3 linked regions of the Yarrowia lipolytica genome follow. The protein of the gene in region 1 interacts with the protein of each later gene in a biochemical or structural test. Links are inferred from orthologs where the notes say so. Each region holds a gene or a part of one and is shown on either strand. Other genes may lie near its edges.

Region 1 (7,592 bases):
TCTGGGCTCTAGAAACTTCGCCAAGGCTGGTGAAAATGTGAATCTTTCGCTGGAAGCTGTTGACGGCTGTGATTTGGAGCTGATCAAAGCGGGCGACATTTTGGCACAGTATTCCGACCCTGTGAGGCGTGGAAACAAGTTCCGAGCACGGGTGACTCTGTTTGACGTGGACCTTCCTGTTCTGAAGGGTACTCAGTGCGATTTCTACCGGTCTCGAGTCTCTTCTGTGGCTGTGTTTTCCAAGCTGTATTCCTTATTGGATAAGCAGGGTAACACCATCAAGGAGAAACCTCGGTTTGTGGACAAGGGCCAGACGGCGTTTGTGGAGCTCATCTTGTCGGACAATATTGCTCTGGAGCTCGAAAAGGAGAACAAGCATCTGTCGCGGTTTGTTTTGCGACGAGATGGAAAGACAATTGGATTTGGCAGTGTGGTCAAGGTGGCGAGGAACCCGGTGGACACTAGTCAGGTGGAGAAGATTCAGATTGGAGAGGATTTGGATGAGGATGAGGAGGATTAGATTAGCGGGACAAGTTAGCAAGGCGCCAGTCTTGTTGAGCAGGTCTACCAAGTCCGATATTGGGTCATGCCAGGAGTGTCATATTCCATGCGTGTTGTATCAAGTCTGGTTCTCTTCACCTACTAAGTCTAGTTCTCCTGGAGTTTGCAGCATTGGGCAGAACAGACTGATCTGCCTCATTTGATACACTACAACTAATCCGATCAAGTCCGATTCAGTCCGATCCAGTCCGATCCACTTGAGACTCCAGCAAGATACAATATATAGATAATTGAATGATTCACCTAGCAGCATCTGTAGGGCAGTGAATGTCGAAGATGCTGTACAGTATGTACGGGAGTACTGAGTGCGAACGACAGGCCGAGTCAAATACACGAGAGTGAGTATTTCTGGGGAGATGAGGCCGAAGTAAGGAGGTGGAGGTGCGGAGGTGGAGGTGCGGAGGTGGAGAGAGCGGAGGTGGAAAGAGCGGAGGTGGAGAGAGCGGAGGTGGAGATGAAGAGCAGCAGTCTTTGTTGGGATCATGTCTACAAGTAGTGATTGTCGACTTACCCAGTCACCCACTATGAGGCCATCTGAGCCAGACTCTTTTTCAGGGACTCGTCAGAACGGCAGGCTGACCAATTCATGCCTCGAGGCAACGGCAGATTCCAATTTTCTGACAGAGCGGAATTGGATCCATTGGTTCAATCTCGGAGCGTTTCAAAACACAACTGGTGTGGCTAATATAAGTCATAGACCATACTCGCGCCGTGCCAACCTTTGTACAGCCCGAATGAGTCGTCTGAATGAACCGCCAGCCCCTCCAGACCTTCACATTGAGCCTGTTACTCTAAAGTTTGGCATTTCTAACACGGGAGAGATGCGAGTGGAGCAGACTTTGACTGCTATGATCTTCGTGGTGCTCTCAGGTCGTCGTGGAGTCTTTCTGGGAGGTTTCAATTCATTATTGAGTGATCTAACTTGTTCTGGAGCATTTGGCACTCCTTCTGGGTTGTTCAAAATGATGCAAGTCTCCTGAAGTCGTCATTGGACATTCTGCAGTTGTCTAGACCCGTTCTAGAGTCTCCGGGTGGCCCGGGACTGGCCCTGCTCTAACTCTACAAGTAGTAGTCACTCTGGTCTCTCACCGACTCTAAACGTGGTGAAAAACTTGAGGTGCACAATGGAGAGCTGGGACAGTCGCTGACAGAATAGAGCCTGAGTGGATCTTCCCTCAGCCAAAGTTCCGTGGAGTGCGGCGCCAGACCCTACTGCAAATAGGGCTCAGAGCAGCCATGTCTGATGACTCAGACCACATTATCCAAATGCCAGAGACGGCCCAAGATATCCCGACCCCAGTCTTTCAATTAACCCTTCTTATTCCACCCGTATTCGTGCGGCCGAATTTCCCTCCAACTGGCCACGATTTCCATTTCTTATGTGCGAGGGTTTTCTTCCATATTTTTATTATTATTATTATTATTTATTATTATTATTATTCTATATTTAAATATTACTTCAAATAAGTATTATCAATATTATTTTATTATTATTTTATTCCTTTTCCCATTTTTTCATTTTCTATTTTAATAAAAATTTTTATTTATTTATTTATTTAAAAAAATCACACCCGACGACACTACAATAAATATCACCGACAACCCAACAGTAAAAACATTTCACCATTAAATACAGGAAATTAAGCCATCCATTCTCTATCAACACATCATCTGCTCCATCTTTTATCCCTTTTTCAAGCAACAACACCTCCACACCGCCGTTCACCAGATTAACTCGTACCCAGTTCACCATTATGCACGTGGGTGGATACGACGCGCCGCACATGAGTAATGGGGCAATACGCCACGTAAGCGCAAAATAAGATTGCCTAGTTACCCGGGGGGCCGTTGCAGTGGAAATAAAAATTGAGTTTGACCACCAGGGCAGGGGCAGGACGATAGTTGCGTAGAGGGTAATAAGATAAGACCAATGTGGCTGGTCACGTGACCCAACTCGAGCGGAATAAAATTATCGGGCCAGGGGTCGTTAGGATAAGTGTTATGTATTACATAATCTTCACTATCCTACTCATTTCCCACAACCCTAACCCTCCCAGGCACACCCTGTTTTCCCCGTTCCCCCAACTCAAATAAGGTTTTTCCGAGCCCGAAGTCTAAAAAGCCTCAACCACCACCCCCCCCGACCGACCAATCCAAAACCTAGCCCTAACCCTAATTCTAACCCTACTCCACCTCCTCCCTGCCCTGCTGCATTCAAACATCACCACTTGTTTTGGGCGACTTTTTACGACATCCCAATTCTGCCCGAACCCTTTGTTGGTGCGAAAGTGATTGTTTTGACGGTAAATTGCTGCTAGCTGCCGCCTTAGCGCCACCCCCGATTTTTCCGGCTCTCGATTCGACCTCGTGACACAGACAGCGAACAACGGACATAAAAGCCTGCGACACAAACGGCGCAAGAGACACAAAAACACAAGGCATTTTTTCGGACGCCGAATTCAAACGACCGCCACAAACGAGACACACACACACGCACACACGTGATTTTCGAGTCTGGATATCGCTCGCCTCTGTCACGTGATTGGTTGATTTTGGTGATTTTTTGGCTGACCGATTTTCGACAATTTTTGGTTGACGACTTGTTACTACTTTTGACGACTTCGACAAGGGCTTACTTTTTGGCAAGGACATTTCTCGTTGACGATTGATATTGACGAGATTGTTGATTGTGATTGCTGACTACTATTACGGTATTGCTGACTACTCCGACTACTCATTACTCTGACCATGACCCAACTACAAAAACTACAAACGGCGTCGATCGACACCTGGCTGGCGGTGGGCTCGCTGGCAGAGCTGCTCAACGAGTCGGAACGCGCCATCAACGCCTACGAGGCAGCGCTCTCCTACAACCCCTGCTCCATTCCCGCTCTGACCGCCATCGCCAACCTGTACCGGTCGATGGAACACTTCCCCAAGGCGGTGGAGTACTACCAGAACATCATCTCGCTGAGCTCGGACTCGGGCGAGACCCACGGCTCGCTGGGCCACTGTTATCTGATGATGGACGACCTGCACAAGGCCTACTCCGCCTACCAGCAGGCCCTGTACCATCTGCGGGACCCCAAGGACCCCAAGCTGTGGTACGGCATCGGCATTCTGTACGACCGGTACGGCTCGCTGGAGTACGCCGAAGAGGCGTTTTCGCAGGTGATGGAAATGGACCCGCACTTTGAGAAGGCCAACGAAATCTACTTCCGGCTTGGCATCATCTACAAGCAGCAGGCCAAGTACTCGCAGAGCCTCGACTGCTTCCGGTACATTCTGCACAACCCGCCTCGACCGCTGACCGAAATCGACATTTGGTTCCAGATTGGCCATGTCCATGAGCAGCAGAAGGACTTCCAGTTGGCGCGAGAAGCTTACGACCGCGTGCTGGTGGAAAACCCCAACCACGCTAAGGTTCTACAGCAACTCGGCTGGCTCCACCACCAGCAATCGTCCACCTTTGCCAACCAGGATGTGGCTATCAACTATCTGCTCAAGTCGCTGGACGCAGATCCCCTGGAGGCCCAGTCGTGGTATCTACTGGGCCGGTGCTACATGGCGCAGCAAAAGTACAACAAGGCGTACGAGGCCTATCAACGGGCCGTTTACCGCGACGGGCGCAACCCCACCTTTTGGTGCTCCATTGGCGTGCTCTATTACCAGATCAACCAGTACCGCGACGCTCTGGACGCCTACTCCCGCGCCATCCGCCTCAATCCCTACATTTCCGAGGTTTGGTACGATCTCGGCACGCTCTACGAGAGCTGCAACAACCAAGTCAACGACGCCATCGACGCCTATCAGAAGGCCGCCGAGCTGGACCCCCACAATCCCCACATCCAAGAGCGGTTGTTGCAGTTGCGATCGGGCCAGGGCCACAATGGCGCCGCCCCCGCCGGTCCTCCTCGACCCCAGGACGTCAATCCCCAGAGCTACAGCCATCACGGTCCTCCTGGCTGGGACGATGCCGCTGGAGGAGCCGCTGGAGCCAACGCTGCTGCCGGAGGAGCTGCCGGAGGAGCTGCCGGAACTCCTCAGGCTCCTCCTGGACTTGGACCTCCAGGACTGGCTCCCGGCGGGCCTCCCGGCGGGCTTTCCAACGCCTCTGGTCTTGGATCTGGGGCTCCTCCTCCTCTGGCAGCCTCTTCTGCGCCGCTGCCTCCTCCTAACGGTCTTCCGGCTGCTCAGACTGCGCCCAACACCGCCCAGACCGCCGCTCCCACGCCTCCGCAACCCGCTGCCGCTCTCCCACAGCTCGCCGGAATCTCCGAGATCCAGCAGCGCGTCTTGCCACAGATTGACTACGCCGAAAACGGCCACGGTCACCAGGGAGGCGAGAAGCGACCCGGCGAATGGGAGGACGAGCGCCGTTTCAAGCGCGTGGATGTTAATGGCGCCGCCACGCCCGCCAGCGGCAATAACACCCCCAATCTTGCTCCGGGTGGCCAGGCTAATGCCGTTGAGCGTGATATCGGCTCTTCGGGCGCTGGTTCGGGTGTTCCTGGAGCTCCCGGTGCTCCCGGTGCGCCTCCGGCCGCTCCTCCGGCTGTTGCCAACGCCGCCAATGCCGCTGGAACCACGCCTCTGCCTCCGCCCCCACCCACGGTGCCGCCGCCCGCGCCCCAGCACGTGCCGACGACCCAAGAGCTGCCACCAGTGCAGGACACGCCGACTCCCGCAGCGGTTGAGCCCAAGAAGGAGGAGCCGGACGTGCCCGTTGCGGTGCCTATTTCCGCGCCTGTTTCTGCGCCCGTTGCGGCGCCCACTGCCGCCGCCGCTGCCGCCGTGCCTCCTGCCGCGCCTCCTAGTGCACTTGCGCAGGCTCAGGAGCCAGAGAAGCCCGACGTTCAATCTGACGTTAAGTCTGACGCGAACGAGGTTAGCGACGTGAAGCCGGTTCAACCAGTGACGGCTCCTGTTTCGGCCGCATCTACGCCCAGCATTGCTCCTGCTCCTGGCCCAGCCGTTGCGAGTAGTGGCAATAGCGCTGGTAGCACCGGAAGCAATGCTAACAATGCTAACGTTGCTAACAGTGGCGCCACTGCCAACAACGGTGCTCCCGGTTCTGGTTCTGCTCCTGGTTCTGGTGCCCCCGCTGCCCCCGCTGCCTCCGCTGCTCCAGCACCTGCTCCTGCTCCTACTCCTGCTCCCGCCCCCTCCTCTCCTCCGCCGGAAGCGCCCCTGCGAAAGGTGGTAGAGGAGGAGGACTACGACGATGACGACGACGAGCCTAAAAAGGAGGACGCCAAGGTCGAGACCGCTACTGAGTCCGCCGCTCCCGCTGCTGCTGCTGCTGCTGCTCCGGCTCCGTCTGCTGCTGCTGCTCCGGCTCCAGCTGAGTCCAAGGATGACGACAAGAAGAATGAGGCCAAGGAGGAAAAATCCGAGGACAAGTAACTGTATTAGTAATGTAGATTAAGTGTATGATAGTTAAGAGCGGACTCGATCCATCTTGGTATATTCTGATGTGCTTGTGCTGAATGGAAATGACATGTTGATGGCGTTATGTCAGAAGAGTGTCCTGTGTAGCCATGTTGTAGCCATACTTGTCAAACGGGTCAAGAGGGGTCAAGAGCGGCCTCTTTGGAGTAGATATGTGAGCAAACAACCAACTGGAACCATCATCTTGAACGTTTTATAAGTGTTGTATCGGTTACTTATCCTTCTGGCGGTGAATGGGTGTTTGGTTAACATCGGACTGAGTGGATCTTTATTTGGCTGAGTGTCCGTTTTTCAGTGTACACAAGCACCAGAGCTGAATGGGTATGATATGTTGATTACGTTACTATCCTGTACAAGTTCTTGTTGTCTTCCTTGATTCTCTCACACTTGTCTCTGAGTCGCTGAGATGTGAGTCGGAGTAGGCAATAGATGTAGCAAAGTGGGTGTGAACTTCAACATGTCTCTACATCTACATCTCTACATCTACACAGTACCCGTCTTACAAAACCTGTGACAGCAGGTCTCGGTCTGCTCTTGATCATACAAGAATCATATATCCATGTAGGAGGCGTCTCGTGAACATTTTTATACAAAAATTGTCAACAAGTGCGGTGTTGTTTCGTCGTCATTCATGAATTGTTTCGCACAAGACTTTGTCCTAATCGGAGGGATGGGTTCAGTGAAGCACTCCGTTTGTTCACGTTGTACTTTGGAATTCTCCTGTTCTGTGGAGTCTGATTCTGTTTGCACAAGTTTAGTTGAAGGAAAACACCACTGGAGTGCCAATTCGGGTTTCCAGAAATGGTAGATGGAAGACAAGTAGATCAAGTGGAGTGGAAAGGAGCCTGTTGGACAATTGAGTGACTAGAATGTGCCATTTCATATCATGATTTGAAGTAATCGAGGTTTTTCTCAGATTTGTAATGACACATTTACTTAGGTTTTAGTTGGACTGCAAGATCTCCTGACGATGAAATCTTGTCCAGTTAAAGAGTTGCTTCTGGAGCCCATTGAGCAAGTCCGTTAAGTCAGTCCATTCGTCCAGGTCTACGAGAAAGGTTCATCTAGTGCGACACTTCCGTTATCAAACACAGCAATATTTCTCCCCTTTTCTGACGATTTTCACCCAAAAAAGGGGAGAAATCATGAGGAAGCAGATACCGAGACCGAGTTCTCAACCAGACCGAGTTCCGACACAGACATGGAGCTCTCGATCAGTATTGACTGCCTAGATGTCATTCGGAAACTCATCTTGTTCAGCAGTCGGATTCACCGGTGATACCTGAAAGGACAGAGGAAGGACGACTCCGCGACTCCGTAAACACGTTTCGGTGACAACATGGTTTCAACTCGCCTGGAACGTCATGGGGGGGGAGGGTCCTGGTAGTGTCACGTGATTCAATTCATTTCCCTCATGTGAGGAATGGTTCCACTGAGTCATATTGCGGCTCAGGATTTTTCGCGGACTTTCCAAGACTTTGCCGACTTTCAGATCTGAAAAGTCGCTGGAAATCGCTGTGGATCTAGTGACTTGTAACCGCTTCTCAGCCCGTGGATATCGGAATAAGGGACCCTCGCGC
Region 2 (6,505 bases), on another chromosome or scaffold:
TGCCCTCTTGTCCCACCGGAACCATTGAGCACCGATCCATTATGGAGCCCATCCGAGGCATCATTCGACACAAGCAGGCCGAATGCCAGTACCTCGAGGCTGATGCTACCAAGATTGACCACGAGAAGCGAATTGTGACCATCCGATCCGCCGTCTCTGAGAACTCCAAGGAGGAGGTCATCAAGGAGATCCCCTTCGACTATCTTGTTGTCGGTGTTGGCGCCATGTCCTCCACCTTTGGTATCCCCGGTGTCCAGGAGAACGCTTGCTTCCTCAAGGAGATCCCCGACGCCCAGCAGATTCGACGAACCCTCATGGATTGCATTGAGAAGGCCCAATTCGAGAAGGACCCTGAGGTCCGAAAGCGACTTCTGCACACTGTCGTTGTTGGAGGTGGCCCTACCGGTGTCGAGTTCGCTGCCGAGCTCCAGGACTTCTTCGAGGACGATCTCCGAAAGTGGATCCCCGATATCCGAGACGATTTCAAGGTTACTCTTGTCGAGGCTCTCCCCAACGTTCTGCCCTCTTTCTCCAAGAAGCTCATTGACTACACCGAGAAAACCTTCTCTGACGAGAAGATCTCCATTCTGACCAAGACCATGGTTAAGTCTGTTGACGAGAATGTGATCCGAGCCGAGCAGACCAAGGGTGACGGTACTAAGGAGACCCTTGAGATGCCTTACGGAACTCTTGTGTGGGCCACCGGTAACACTGTGCGACCTGTTGTTCGAGAGCTCATGTCCAAGATCCCTGCTCAGAAGGGCTCCCGACGAGGTCTTCTTGTCAACGAGTACCTTGTTGTTGAGGGTACCGAGGGCATCTGGGCTCTTGGTGACTGTTCTGCCACCAAGTACGCACCCACTGCCCAGGTTGCCTCCCAGGAGGGATCCTACCTTGCTAACCTGCTCAACGGCATTGCTAAGACCGAGGACCTCAACAACGAGATCACCAACCTCGAGAAGCAGTCGGAGCACACCTTTGACGAGCAGGAGCGAAAGAACATCTTTGCTCAACTCGAGTCCAAGTCCCGAAAGCTGCGACGATCCAGAGCCATGCTGCCCTTCGAGTACTCTCACCAGGGTTCTCTGGCCTACATTGGTTCCGACCGAGCCGTTGCCGACCTGTCCTTCAACTTCTGGGGTATCATGAACTGGTCTTCCGGAGGAACCATGACCTACTACTTCTGGCGATCCGCCTACGTGTCCATGTGCTTCTCCATGCGAAACAAGATTCTTGTTTGCATTGATTGGATGAAGGTCCGAGTCTTCGGCCGTGATATCTCTCGAGAATAAGCGCATAAACCTATACAATAAATTTTAGATTGACAGTACAACTGAGGGCTGTAATGAGTAAGAGTGGTATCACTTGGTTGTATTTGACGGAACAGTTGTATACAATTATAAAGAGTTGCAGCTTCTCCATCTGCAGTATTGCTGTAAGCATGTTTGTGGAAGGTTTCATACTGAACAGAATCCCTCGTATAAGTGAACCCCAAAGCCAATGTTTTAGAGGCATTGAGACATAAGACTGCATGTTTCTTTTTGCTCATTTCACTTCTATATTTCTTTTTTGTGTCTGCCACTTCTGTATAATTCATTTCAATCAACACAATAGAGTTCCATAAGGCGTGTGGTGCATATTGTCAACTGTGGATACCTGTTCGTACAATACGTGAACATACTAACACACACCACAAATGATCACGAAAAGGCTACTGCGGTTCCTGCTGGGGCCTAGTTTTGCCACCAATGAGAATACAGAAACAGAATCTCTTGCTCTCAACCACGAATTGCTCAACGCCAAACACAAGATTCTCAACAGCTATGGACGGTCTTCCCTGGAGGCCGAGAAGATTGTACCTCCTCCTACTTCAGCCGCTGATCTGGACGCTCTGCTTGATCCTGCCGAATCAAACGACTATGTCGACAAGTGGATGCGAGCCTGGGAACTCGGTATTATCCCTGAGGGGATTGTTAGAGGTATAGAGATGATGGGCATGTGGCCCCTGGAGGTATCTTGGGCTAGATACCACACAATTGGCAGATCCGGAGGACAAACATACTGGCAACTACTGAAGGGAACTATCCACAGCGGCAATCCGTTCCCCGGATTCATGGCTTCCCTGGCGCAGAGTATGGTGGAGGAAGCTATCTCAGACCAACCGGACGCAGGCTCGTATACGTGGGAGAACGGGACCATGGTCAAAAGCGAACACAAAATCAACATCATAAGCGTGCTCAAGGGCAACCACACAATGGCTGAAATCATCCCCTTTGCCCTGAAACACTTCACGGCCTGCATCATGTCATTCCCCTTCTTCTACTACTCCTCCATGCAGATTTTGGGGGTGTACAACAACGTCGACACCCCCAACAACTCGCCCTGGGGCCCGTCTATTGCCTGGCTGCAGAATTTCTACAACCCCTGGACTCCAGCTCTACCCAATGTCGGAGTCATGGCCGTCTGGCATGTATCCAACTACTTTCTTGGTCTGGTGGGTCGAACGCATCTGGCTGAAATCAACAAGTCTCACGGACAAATGGGACCCGAAGTGGCCCATCATATGCCTCCATTTGCGGTTTTATATGAGAACTTCCTTCGATCATCCTTCATCATGAGATGCATGACTTCCAATCTGTTTGGTTTCTTCTTTTTCCGGTTTGCTGTCGGCAAATCTTTTGGGGATGACCTGCAGATTGATTTCCCAGATCTCTGCGGCGCTATTGCTGTTGATACCGTGGTTAGATGTGGTATCAACCACTTGTACATTCTGTCCACCTGGATTATTGAGAGATCTGTTTACGGGGCTGACACAGAGGAGGAGGAGACGTAAATGTACATAGGTCTACATCGCTACATAGTTGCATTATTTATTTGGTATTCAAGAAAGAGAGACATTTTTTTCCCCTTTGAACTGGTGTGCTCGTTTGTTGCATTTGTACATCAGGAAACGCGTTTCCCTTCGTCATTCCACATTTTAAAACATCACACTCTTATCCTTAATGACCATCCTAAACGGTACATGTTGCTTAATAATCAAACCCTAATAACAAGAATATGCATGGCTGGACTCCCCGGCCAAATTCGTCCAGTACACATCTTTTACACCAGCAACAACCAAACACAATGTCCGCTCGACGCTCGAGACGCAATTTTGATGACGACACGGTGGAAGCGTCCAGTGACAGCGAAGGCAAAAAGCGCAAGTCACGGGCCGCCGACAAAGCAGCAGCCGTACCTGAAGAGGATGAGGAGGTCGAGGACTCGGATGGACTGGTGGAGTCCGAGGAGGTTACACGGTGCATTTGTGGCCACGAAGAGTTGCATCTGGACCGGGCTGCCAAGGCTCTGGAAATTGATCAGGGTCTGTTTATCCAGTGTGATTCTTGCTCTGTGTGGCAGCATGGCTACTGTGTGGGCATGTACCAGGAGTCTGAAGTTCCCGATGTCTATTACTGTGAGAAATGCCGACCCGACCTCCATCAGATTTTCCTACGGCCAAGCGGCCAGACGTCCATCTACAACAAGTCTGCCGACGACGATGAAGACGAAGAAAACGAGGATGGCAACGATGAAGGCAATGGTAGCCGGGCTTCGGTCAAAGAAGAAGAGCTCCTCCCGCCAAAGCGTCAGCGCAGCAGCCGAGCGTCTTCTTCGACAGCCTCAGACAGCGGCACTGGTGCAACACGCGAGTCTGCCCGCGACCCTCCCCGAAGCAATGGAGAGGAGCCTGCAGCTGCTAGTGGCCCCAGACAACAGTCCGGGTCCACCCCCGAGCAGGGAGGAAAGCGAGGTACGGGTAGAAGTCGACGTCCCGATTCTGCTGCTTCTGCCGCTGGCTCTGCTGATGATGGCTCTGAAGACATCTCTGACGCAACTGGCGAGGCAGGCCGTGACTCAACTCGCAGCAGACGCAATTCGAGCTCTCGTCGTGAGATAACCACCTCGTCGCGACGTCGCAACAGAGACACATATGAGGAGACTCTCAAGCGGGTGCTTCAGGAGAGCGCCCGCGAAGCAGGCAAGGACAAGGAGGTCAAAGAGGAAACCACAACGAGCAAGAACTCTACGACCAACAACAATAACGCCACAGCCAACAACAGCAGCAGTAGCAAAAAGTCATCGCCTGAGACTACTGGCACTGCTTCTGGAGCAGCAGCTGCAACAAATGGAACAACCAACGGGTCAGCAGCAGCCTCGGGAACGTCGGAAACGCCGAAGCGGAAACGCGAACAGGAACTCCAGGCAAAGTCGGATATGGACGGCAGCGACTCGATGGACTCGCCTGTGGCCAAGGCCCGGAAAAAGCGCAAGACAAAGACGTCGGTGGGTGCTGGAGGAGCAGCCAACTCGCCGAAGCCGAAGGAGACACCCGAATACAATGACGAGCGGCCATCCAAGCCACGGGTACCTCATTCACGAACTACAATGAGCGAGATGCGACGACGGGTAGCTGCGATACTGGAATTTATTGGCCGCACACAGATGGACATGGCCAGTGACCAGAACAAGATTGGAGATCAGGTGGTGCTTAGCTCCACCTCTGCAGATATGATGGATGGACTAACTCGCAAGCTGCTTCTGTGGGAACAGGAGTACGGTAGATATGGCGAGCGAAGGTGATTAACAGAATATACTTAATTTATTGTATCATTATTATTTAAAGGTATTTTGCCGTCGGAATAGCCGCTCCGCAAAAACCGTTGCACGTTGTGTGAGAGGAAACCTATTACAGGTAACAATTGGGGATGTGTCTCAATTTTGGGTATTGCGATAAGCTAATTGTAGCGGTTACTACCTGATCTACAATGTAGCTTAGTGTCGGTTATCGATCTCTATATTCGTATATTAGATGCCAAGAACAAGAAGAATAATGTATGAAGTAGACATGTCATTTCGCTTAGGTGGTGCTGTGAGCCTTTGCGGGGGCCACTACAAATAATAGGGAAGTTTTGTATGCGTCTGCCATGTGCATTGCTCCGCTACTATTCACTTCAACATTCGACGCGTTTCTACAGTCATGGATGTGAGAGTGGCTGGGTTTATATTACGAAAAGGCTCCAATATGTTGAAACATTTAGTACAAGTACCTGTAGCTTGTTTTCTACTTCTCCCCATTTCTCCATCCCTCCAAGAACACTCCACATCAAGCAATTAGCCGTTGGGAAAGCCGAAAGTACAAGTAAGGTAAGTTGACTTGAACTACAGGTACAGTATTAGCTGCCTCTAGGCTCTCTTATTTCTCCACCCAAACGCGCACACCATCGTTCATACCGACTTTGACAAACGTCATTGTTCTTACACATACACATACAACATTCACCTTCTGAATTACACACAATGGTCCATGCCGATTACTCTCGATTCTCGTCGGAATCAAAGTCCGAATTGTACGACACCATGGCCTCCAATGTGGAAGCTCTAGTTGATGGTCAGACCAATTGGGTGGCTAATCTTTCCAATGCCTCGTCGATCATCTGGCACGGTCTCAAATCGCTCCCCGAGCCATCCAGCGACATCAACTGGGCCGGCTTCTACGTGATTGATCCTAAGAAGTCTGAACAGCTGATTTTGGGACCTTTCCATGGTCAGGTTGCATGTCAGGAGATCCCTCTGGGCAAGGGAGTGTGTGGAGTTGCTGCCAAGGAGCAGAAGACCCAACTGGTCAAGAATGTGGAGGAGTTTCCCGGGCACATTGCATGCGACGGAGTCACCAAGAGCGAGATTGTAGTTCCCATTGTGTTGAACGGTAAGCTCTTCGGTGTCATTGATATTGACTGTGCCAGTCTAGAGGGATTCGACGAGGTGGACCAGCAGGGACTGGAGAAGATTGCCTTGATTCTGGCGAAGTCTTGTGAGTGGTAGCGACCATTCAGATAAGTTATAATGTGTAGAAATCAATACGATACAGTGTCTCGTTGTATACATACAGTGCAGTCTATCAATACATAAATAAGTCCTAAATACTGGCTGGCCCAACCAGAAAGCAGTCCTCCACAATCATCTCACCCAAACAAAGAAGAAACACAGGAAAATGAAGGCGAAGAGACCGAGCCAGACTCTCCAGCCAATACCGCTGTTGTCGGCCATGATCATCATTCGCTTGAAGGTGCCCTTGAGTTTCGTGGATGCATTTTCAAAAGTGTCCTCCAGGTTGTTGAGCAGGTGGCTGGAGTCCCGGATCTCCACTCCGATCTTGCTGGTCACGTCCTTCAGCAGCTGCACCTTAGCAGACAGACCCTCCATTTGCTCGTCGTTCTGGGACTCCAACTGCGACAGCATCGACGTCGAGTACTGCTTGTGGCTTTTAGGATCGTACTCCTCCTGCTCGGGAACGTAGGGCTTGGCCTCTCCAAAGGACGAAGACGACCCGGCGTACGGCTGTGGAGGTTGAGGGGTGTTGATTCGAGAAGAAGCCTGGCTGGAGGCTGGTGATCCGTATTGTGCCGAGGAGGCAAAGAGTTGATGTCTGAGTTAGTTGCTGTGCACGGAAGAGAGCCTTCAT
Region 3 (6,840 bases), on another chromosome or scaffold:
GTTGCCAGCCGCATACGCGGACTCGGCAGCCATATACGGGCTTCTTATTGCCCAGCAGCTGCGCGAAAAACGACCCATTCCACCTCACGTGACGTATGTGCCCTGCACCAAGCCGCGTGTTGAAGACGAGCCTGTGGTTCCCAAGAAGCGCAAAGCGGAGGAACCGCCTCCGGCAGTGCCCAGAGATAGCACCGAGGTTTCTTTTGTTGATCTGGTGGCCGCGACCGTTTGGGAGGCTGCTCATTGTGCCAATCCTCCTCTTCGGTTGTGTTTGGGAAGACAGGCGGTCAAGCTACACAAGGAGAAGCTACGACTCAATGTGGAAGAGATTGAGGACTGGAAGTATCTGTATGGACATTGGGAAGATTGACGGCATTGGCGTCCTGTAAATAATATTTATATGGTGGAATTGGTGGTGTGATTGCCTTGTCCAGTATAGAGCAATCAGTGACAGTGGGGTATGGGGAGAGGACCTATTGACGGTGGTGTATGTGAGGAGCAATCAAATACGGTGGTGTGTGTTTCAGATCAGAAATAGCTGGTCATATATGAAACAACTGGAGTTGTGCTGCTAACAACAAACTCGTTAGTAAGCCTTCAACTTGAACAGATCTCGACATTGTAACATTCAAGTTGGACAGGACTGGGTATTGTAGCATTCAAAACGGGCAGAACACTTTTTCAACTGATGAATGAATTACAAGGACTTGTATTGTAAACAGTATACGACGGTTGACCCATAAATTCCCTCCCCGAATGAGTGGAACAGGTGATAACCGACGATAACAGACATTAGGGTCTATTATGGCATCGGGATTGTTTCTTTTGGTAGAAACACCTACAGAAACCTCATAAACAGTCCTCTACATGTAGTAATAGTCGAATATCGATCGTACTTGTAGAGCCCAGGAGTGGACTTGTATTGTCGTAACACTTGGTGTTAGGAACCAGACTCTGAGATAGAAACATTGGCACTTGTACTGACCTCTGACTATAGTGAGATCAGTACTTAGACTGATGGTTCCAATCATTTATGAGTTATTTATCTGGTCTGGGATCTCTTGTGAATATTAATCACGAACTCCAAACAAGCCTGATGTGCACTGCTATGGAACTAGAGTCCTTGGACAAGGTTGTAAGAGTTAACTAAATGTCAATTGGTATACTTAGGTTTCCTGTAGATTTAATATGTTTCAAGAATCATACTCACGGTAGTCAACAATTCAATAGACTCGTACTTGAGCCTGTAACAAAGATAAACAGTACCAGTAGAATGGACTCGGATTCGGGCTTTACAGAAGAACATATGACAACCCTTCTCCAATTGTGCTTCCCATAACCCTCTCATTTCCCTTCTAGACCGGATAAACATTATCTTTTTATGTTTTTATTTTTTATTTTTTTTTTATTATTATTTTTTTATTCTTTTTAGTAAGCACAGTTTGAAGGGCGTATTATATAATCAATGTATGTCCAAGAATAAAAAGAAAAATACAAACTTAGTCATCACATATAATGACCCTAGCGAGGTTTGAACCGCGGTTAGTTCGGAATCCCCCTTGATGACATCGGATCAATCAGAACGGCAGTTCAATCCGTCTTGTGCTGGGTTTTTCCCACCCATTTTATTGTCCCCGTTTTCCTCCACCATTTCCACCAATTACTAAATATCCCACGGGCGAACTATCAAAACTTCCTCCTAATCTCCGAAACCCCACCCAAACACCCCTGCTCAAACATAGCCACAATACCGCTCTTAGCGCGCTCCGTGCGCATCGACCCTCATCCCTCACCCCTATTCCACAGACTCACCCGTTCAAGTCTTGCCACAACAGTTCCAACATGTCCAACACTCCAGTTCCGCCAGCTTTCCGCATCACCACATGCGGGTTAGGGTATAAAAAGTGGCGTTTAGGGCTCTACAGGAGAGGCCAGACAATCTTGGACTCTTGGCCGCCATTGGCTGGGACATTATCTCCCACCTCTTTTAGGCGTTTATTTTAGACTCGGCGTATACAAGTACCTGGGAACTCTAATCCCACCCCTTACCCTAAACTGCCAGCGTGAGAAACATGACAACGTCATACAGTAGCCACTTCTAAACTTTAGAGTTTCGGAGCCTATTTCAAAAATCACTCTATTTAGACGGACAAAGCTTAAATAAGGTTGAGCGTCAGAGTGCCCCCTCTTGGGGTCCCCCCCACTTGTTTTTCGACGATGGTGAGAATAAGGTTGGGCCCTAACCCACGCCAACCCAACGGGGCATGACAGCCATCTTTTAGAATTACCCGACCTTGCACTACATCTTTGGAGCTTGTTTCTCACACAACACAGCACTACTCATTTTCAGCGCTGCAGGTGTATCATCGACAATTGGCAATTGTGCTTGAGCCATCAACGAGTTGTACAATAGGACCAGGTGAGTACGAGACCGGAGCGCGTCGACGCAGACGATGACGAGACGCACACAGATGCAGAATCCCCGACACCGGCGAACGGCCCCAAGCCGGCCTTCTTGTAATGTTTTTTGCTTCCCGTGACACGACAAGATACACGACATCAGAACGGAACACGAGACCCGAACATGACGACACAGAGATAATGCCACGTGGATGGATTGGCGATGGAGTTGGATGGTGGCGATGGAGTTGGATGATGGCGATGGAGGTCGGATGATGGCCGTCTGCGATGCATGATTGGTGATGATGGATGGTGGTGGTGGTGGTGGTGAAGGGTAATCGGTGATGATGGGTTCACAAGACCCAAAAGAGGGCATTCATCACGTCTTGGCGATTGGAACGCGTCATCGTCGGACAATGACGCTTGGAGTCCATCCTAACACGTGTCCGCAGTTGTGTTGTCCATCTTATCGCCATTTTTAATCGCCATCTTATCGCCATCTTATCGCCATCTTACCTCCGCCATCTTTAGCCATCTCTTTCTCTGCCCTTGCCTCTGCCCTTATCTCTGCCATCCATGAATCATCGAATCTGCATCACCCGTCAGCCTCTTGGGTCATAGGTCACACCAGACTCTACAATACTAACCCAGATGAGCTTCCCCCAACAAGTAATAGCGCCGGGCCAACGGCTCAACGAGCTTCTGGAGGCCATCAAACAGGAGTTCGACTCCGTGACCAACGAGGCGTCCGTCTACCGGCTGCACAAGGACGAGTTTGACGTCAAGGTGAACCAGCAGACGTCAGATCTGGGCCAGATTCGACAGTCGGTCTACGAGCTAGAAATGGCGCACCGAAAGATGAAGGAGCGCTACGAGGAGGAAATCATGCGGCTCAAGAGCGAGCTGGAGGCCCGAGGTGGACCCGCTGCGAACCCCGCACACTCCCAGCAGCAGCAACAGCAGCAACAGCAACAGCAGCAACAGCAGCAGCAGAACCAGCAGGCACAGGACCAACAAGCACGGGCCGCGCAACAACAGGCAGCCCAGCAGCAGGCCCTCGCCCAGCAGCAGGCCGCCCAGCAGCAGGCTCTGGCCCAACAGCAGGCCCAGGCTCAACAGCAGGCCCAGGCCCAGGCCCACCACATGGGTGGTGTGCCCCCTTCGCAAGGACAGCCCCCGTCGCTGCTGCGTCCATCATCCAACGTGTTCAGCGGCATCATGTCCGGTCAGCCCGGCACCTCTTCTCTGGCTCCCCCGCAGGGACAGCCCGGTCAGCCCCAGCCTGGTCAGCCCCAACCTGGTCAACCCCAGCCCTACTCCGGCTACGTGGGTGCTAACGGCTACACGTCTTCGCCACATAACGGACCCCCCGTCATCAGCGCAATGGCCTCGCCCAACAGCAAGAAGCGACAGGTGTCGACCCCCGTTCCCGGCAAGGCGTCTCCCCAGGTGGCCCCCCAAGAGATGCAACAGCAGCAGCAACAGCAGGGCCCTCCACAGCAGCAGCAACCTCCCCAGCAGCAGCAACAGAGCCCCGAAGAGATGGGCAACTACCTGGGCGACATGGACATTGAGCGGGTACCTCCGGAGCTCAAAAAACAAAAGGCCGACTGGTTTGTCGTTTACAACCAGCGAGCACCACGGCTGCTGGACGTGGATATTGTGCAGTCGCTGGACCACAACTCTGTAGTGTGCTGTGTGCGGTTCTCCGCTGACGGCAAGTACATTGCCACTGGCTGTAACCGATCTGCCCAGATTTTCGACGTGCAGACTGGCCAGCTCATCTGCCGGCTGCAGGACGACTCGGTCGACCGAGAAGGCGACCTGTACATCCGGTCCGTGTGTTTCTCGCCGGACGGTAAGTACCTGGCCACCGGCGCCGAGGACAAGCAGATCCGAGTGTGGGACATTAAATCTCAGAGCATACGGCACGTGTTCACTGGCCACGAGCAGGACATTTACTCGCTGGACTTTTCGCGAAACGGCCGACACATTGCCTCTGGCTCTGGCGACCGCACAGTCCGAATGTGGGATATTGAGAGCGGCCAGTGTACTCTAACCCTGTCGATCGAGGACGGCGTCACCACGGTGGCCATCTCGCCCGACGGCAAGTTTGTGGCTGCAGGCAGCTTGGACAAGTCTGTGCGAATCTGGGACACCTCTACCGGTTTCCTGGTTGAGCGTCTGGAGGCCCCTGATGGACACAAGGACTCCGTCTATAGTGTAGCTTTCACCCCCAACGGTATGGATCTTGTTTCCGGCTCGCTGGACAAGACGATCAAGCTGTGGGAGCTGCAGGCTCCTCGAGGCATTCAGGCCAACCAGCGAGGAGGCGTCTGCGTCAAGACGCTGTGTGGACACAAGGACTTTGTTCTGAGTGTGGCCAGCACGCTGGATGGGCAGTGGATTCTTTCCGGCTCCAAGGACCGGGGTGTGCAATTCTGGGACCCTCGAACGGGCCAGGTGCAACTCATGCTGCAGGGTCATCGAAATTCGGTCATCAGTGTGGCTCCTAGTCCCATGGGCGGGTTGTTTGCTACTGGAAGTGGAGATTGCAAGGCTCGAATCTGGCGATACTTTCCTGTCAACAGATAATCCTGGGCGGTCGCGAGGCCGGACGGGTGTCTGGCAGTTAACAAAGACATTAGATGTCTGGATGAAGCCTGCTCCGTTTGCACGCAATCTAGGGAAGACAGGGCTATGTAGTGTATAAAATTTTGTGGTATTATTATTAGACAAACATGGAGTTGTAGTGGTGGAGTATATGCGAGTGCAATACTGTATGTACTTGTTGACGATGGGGTATCAACGTGCTATGTATACTTGTACTCGTTCATGTTTACCCTCTTCAGACAGCTGGTGTTGACGTTTTGGTCATGTGAATGAAGATACCGGGTGGAGCCGAAAAGTGGAGCTGAAAATGTCCCCACTTTTCAACTCAGCTCGGTTTCTGCTCTCTTGGTTTTTGTCTGTGATTACTCTAACGCCAGCCTCTCTCTAATGTCCACTCATTCGCCACTTACCATGAATGGCTCTGGACCTTGTTTGCTCAATAGCTCCACGGCTCCCCGTGGTCCCCATGTTATTGATGCTCTCGGCACCTTTGTTGGCAACGGCTCACGGAGATCAGCAGCTCCACCCAGCCCGCTGGCCAATGCCACCACCATCAACGCGGCCAACGTCAACCCGTCCAACTCGGGCCTCAACCAGCCGCCGCAGGTCATGTCTCTCAACGAGCTGCTTGAAGTGCACAACGATCCGCAGCTCGACGCGCGACTGCCTCCCGAGAACCCCAACCGGCCCGTGATCCGCCACCAGCGCGAGATTCTGTACGGCAAGTGGAACATTGGCCCGTCACGGGCCGACAGACTGGCAGCCAAGATTCGCAACAAGTTTGGCCCCACGGCACGCAAACGACGCAAGGCCATCAGAGAAGACGAGAAGAAAAAGGCCCTTGAAGAACAGCCGCCAAAATACATGCTCACGGACTTCCACCATCAGCTGGTGCAGGAGATGCGAGTAGTGATTGAGAACCAGGAGGCGGTTTTGGAGCAGCTCACGAACCTGTTGTATCAAAAGGACGCCGAAATCGAGAAGATGCATTACGACATGATGTTGGTCTCCACTCCGCCAAATGGGACCCTCGCTAGTATTCGGGAGGAGCCCGTGAGGCGGTTTGGCGGAGGTTGTCGTGAGTAGTGTTTCAGTGGTGATAGGACCCTCGCCAGTGGTGGGAGGAGCCGTTCTCAAGAGGCATGGTCATACGTGTGGGTCCACCAAACCGCATTATCAGGGCGTATATGAGGCATCTGTGAACTAGATTGAGGTATGTTAGCTACAAGTAATGGACAAGTTGAGTGTTCATTCATCCAGAATGTTTCAAAGGCCTGTTACTTCTCTACAAGTACAGGAACAGATATGAGCACAATCACAAGCACGAAAGTGACCAGAATTCAAATCAATTCCATCATCTCCTCGTTTCAATCTTCCACCATTTTCACTCGAACCTGTTCTTTGACCAATAACATCTTATGTCTTCTGAATTGGATGGACATAACTGGATCACGTCAAACCGAGCAGAGAGAATTCCAGTCAGTGAGCAGGTTCAAGCACGTCATGGAACGACTATTTTACAAGTACTTGTACTTGTACTTGTACAATATACCAGGTCAATTGAACTTCAAGATTCGTCAGTCGGAAAACGTGAAAGATATCACTCACCTCTTATTCACCCTAATTCACCTTCTTGCTCACATCCATACATCTGCCGACTCCGTACTAACCCAGAATAGCCGCTACTACTGACAACGAAAACAGTAATATTGGGAAATACTTCCGACAACCAACAAAACATCGGAGAACTCCAAACCTAACGTTCACTGATCCACTGAAATCCACTCTCCGAAGATACCCTACTTCTCAATACTCTTCATCTCCATA

What was found.
Region 2: the proteins of YALI1_B09894g (region 1) and YALI1_F32512g form a complex in vitro, tested with the Saccharomyces cerevisiae proteins (3 studies listed by BioGRID). The link is inferred for Yarrowia lipolytica from reciprocal best matches to the Saccharomyces cerevisiae genes CYC8 and CTI6.
Region 3: the proteins of YALI1_B09894g (region 1) and YALI1_A14345g form a complex in vitro, tested with the Saccharomyces cerevisiae proteins (6 studies listed by BioGRID). The link is inferred for Yarrowia lipolytica from reciprocal best matches to the Saccharomyces cerevisiae genes CYC8 and TUP1.

Annotation. Positions count from the first base shown.
Region 1 is NC_090771.1:986,140-993,731, forward strand, and holds YALI1_B09894g (uncharacterized protein), read left to right. Parts: upstream 1-3,309; coding exon 3,310-5,967; downstream 5,968-7,592. Other genes in the region: YALI1_B09837g (uncharacterized protein), read left to right, coding at 1-520; YALI1_B09871g (uncharacterized protein), read left to right, coding at 1,044-1,541; YALI1_B09929g (uncharacterized protein), read right to left, coding at 6,598-6,786, 6,830-6,895; YALI1_B09931g (uncharacterized protein), read left to right, coding at 6,983-6,992, 7,041-7,291. UniProt on the Saccharomyces cerevisiae protein: Acts as a component of the CYC8-TUP1 corepressor complex which is involved in the repression of many genes in a wide variety of physiological processes including heme-regulated and catabolite repressed genes.
Region 2 is NC_090775.1:3,248,155-3,254,659, forward strand, and holds YALI1_F32512g (uncharacterized protein), read left to right. Parts: upstream 1-3,057; coding exon 3,058-4,623; downstream 4,624-6,505. Other genes in the region: YALI1_F32476g (uncharacterized protein), read left to right, coding at 1-1,292; YALI1_F32498g (uncharacterized protein), read left to right, coding at 1,697-2,833; YALI1_F32534g (uncharacterized protein), read left to right, coding at 5,341-5,865; YALI1_F32546g (uncharacterized protein), read right to left, coding at 6,001-6,469. UniProt on the Saccharomyces cerevisiae protein: Component of the RPD3C(L) histone deacetylase complex (HDAC). Responsible for the deacetylation of lysine residues on the N-terminal part of the core histones (H2A, H2B, H3 and H4).
Region 3 is NC_090770.1:1,431,461-1,438,300, forward strand, and holds YALI1_A14345g (uncharacterized protein), read left to right. Parts: upstream 1-3,051; coding exon 3,052-4,995; downstream 4,996-6,840. Other genes in the region: YALI1_A14305g (uncharacterized protein), read left to right, coding at 1-370; YALI1_A14368g (uncharacterized protein), read left to right, coding at 5,401-6,099; YALI1_A14377g (uncharacterized protein), read left to right, coding at 6,229-6,705. UniProt on the Saccharomyces cerevisiae protein: Acts as a component of the CYC8-TUP1 corepressor complex which is involved in the repression of many genes in a wide variety of physiological processes including heme-regulated and catabolite repressed genes.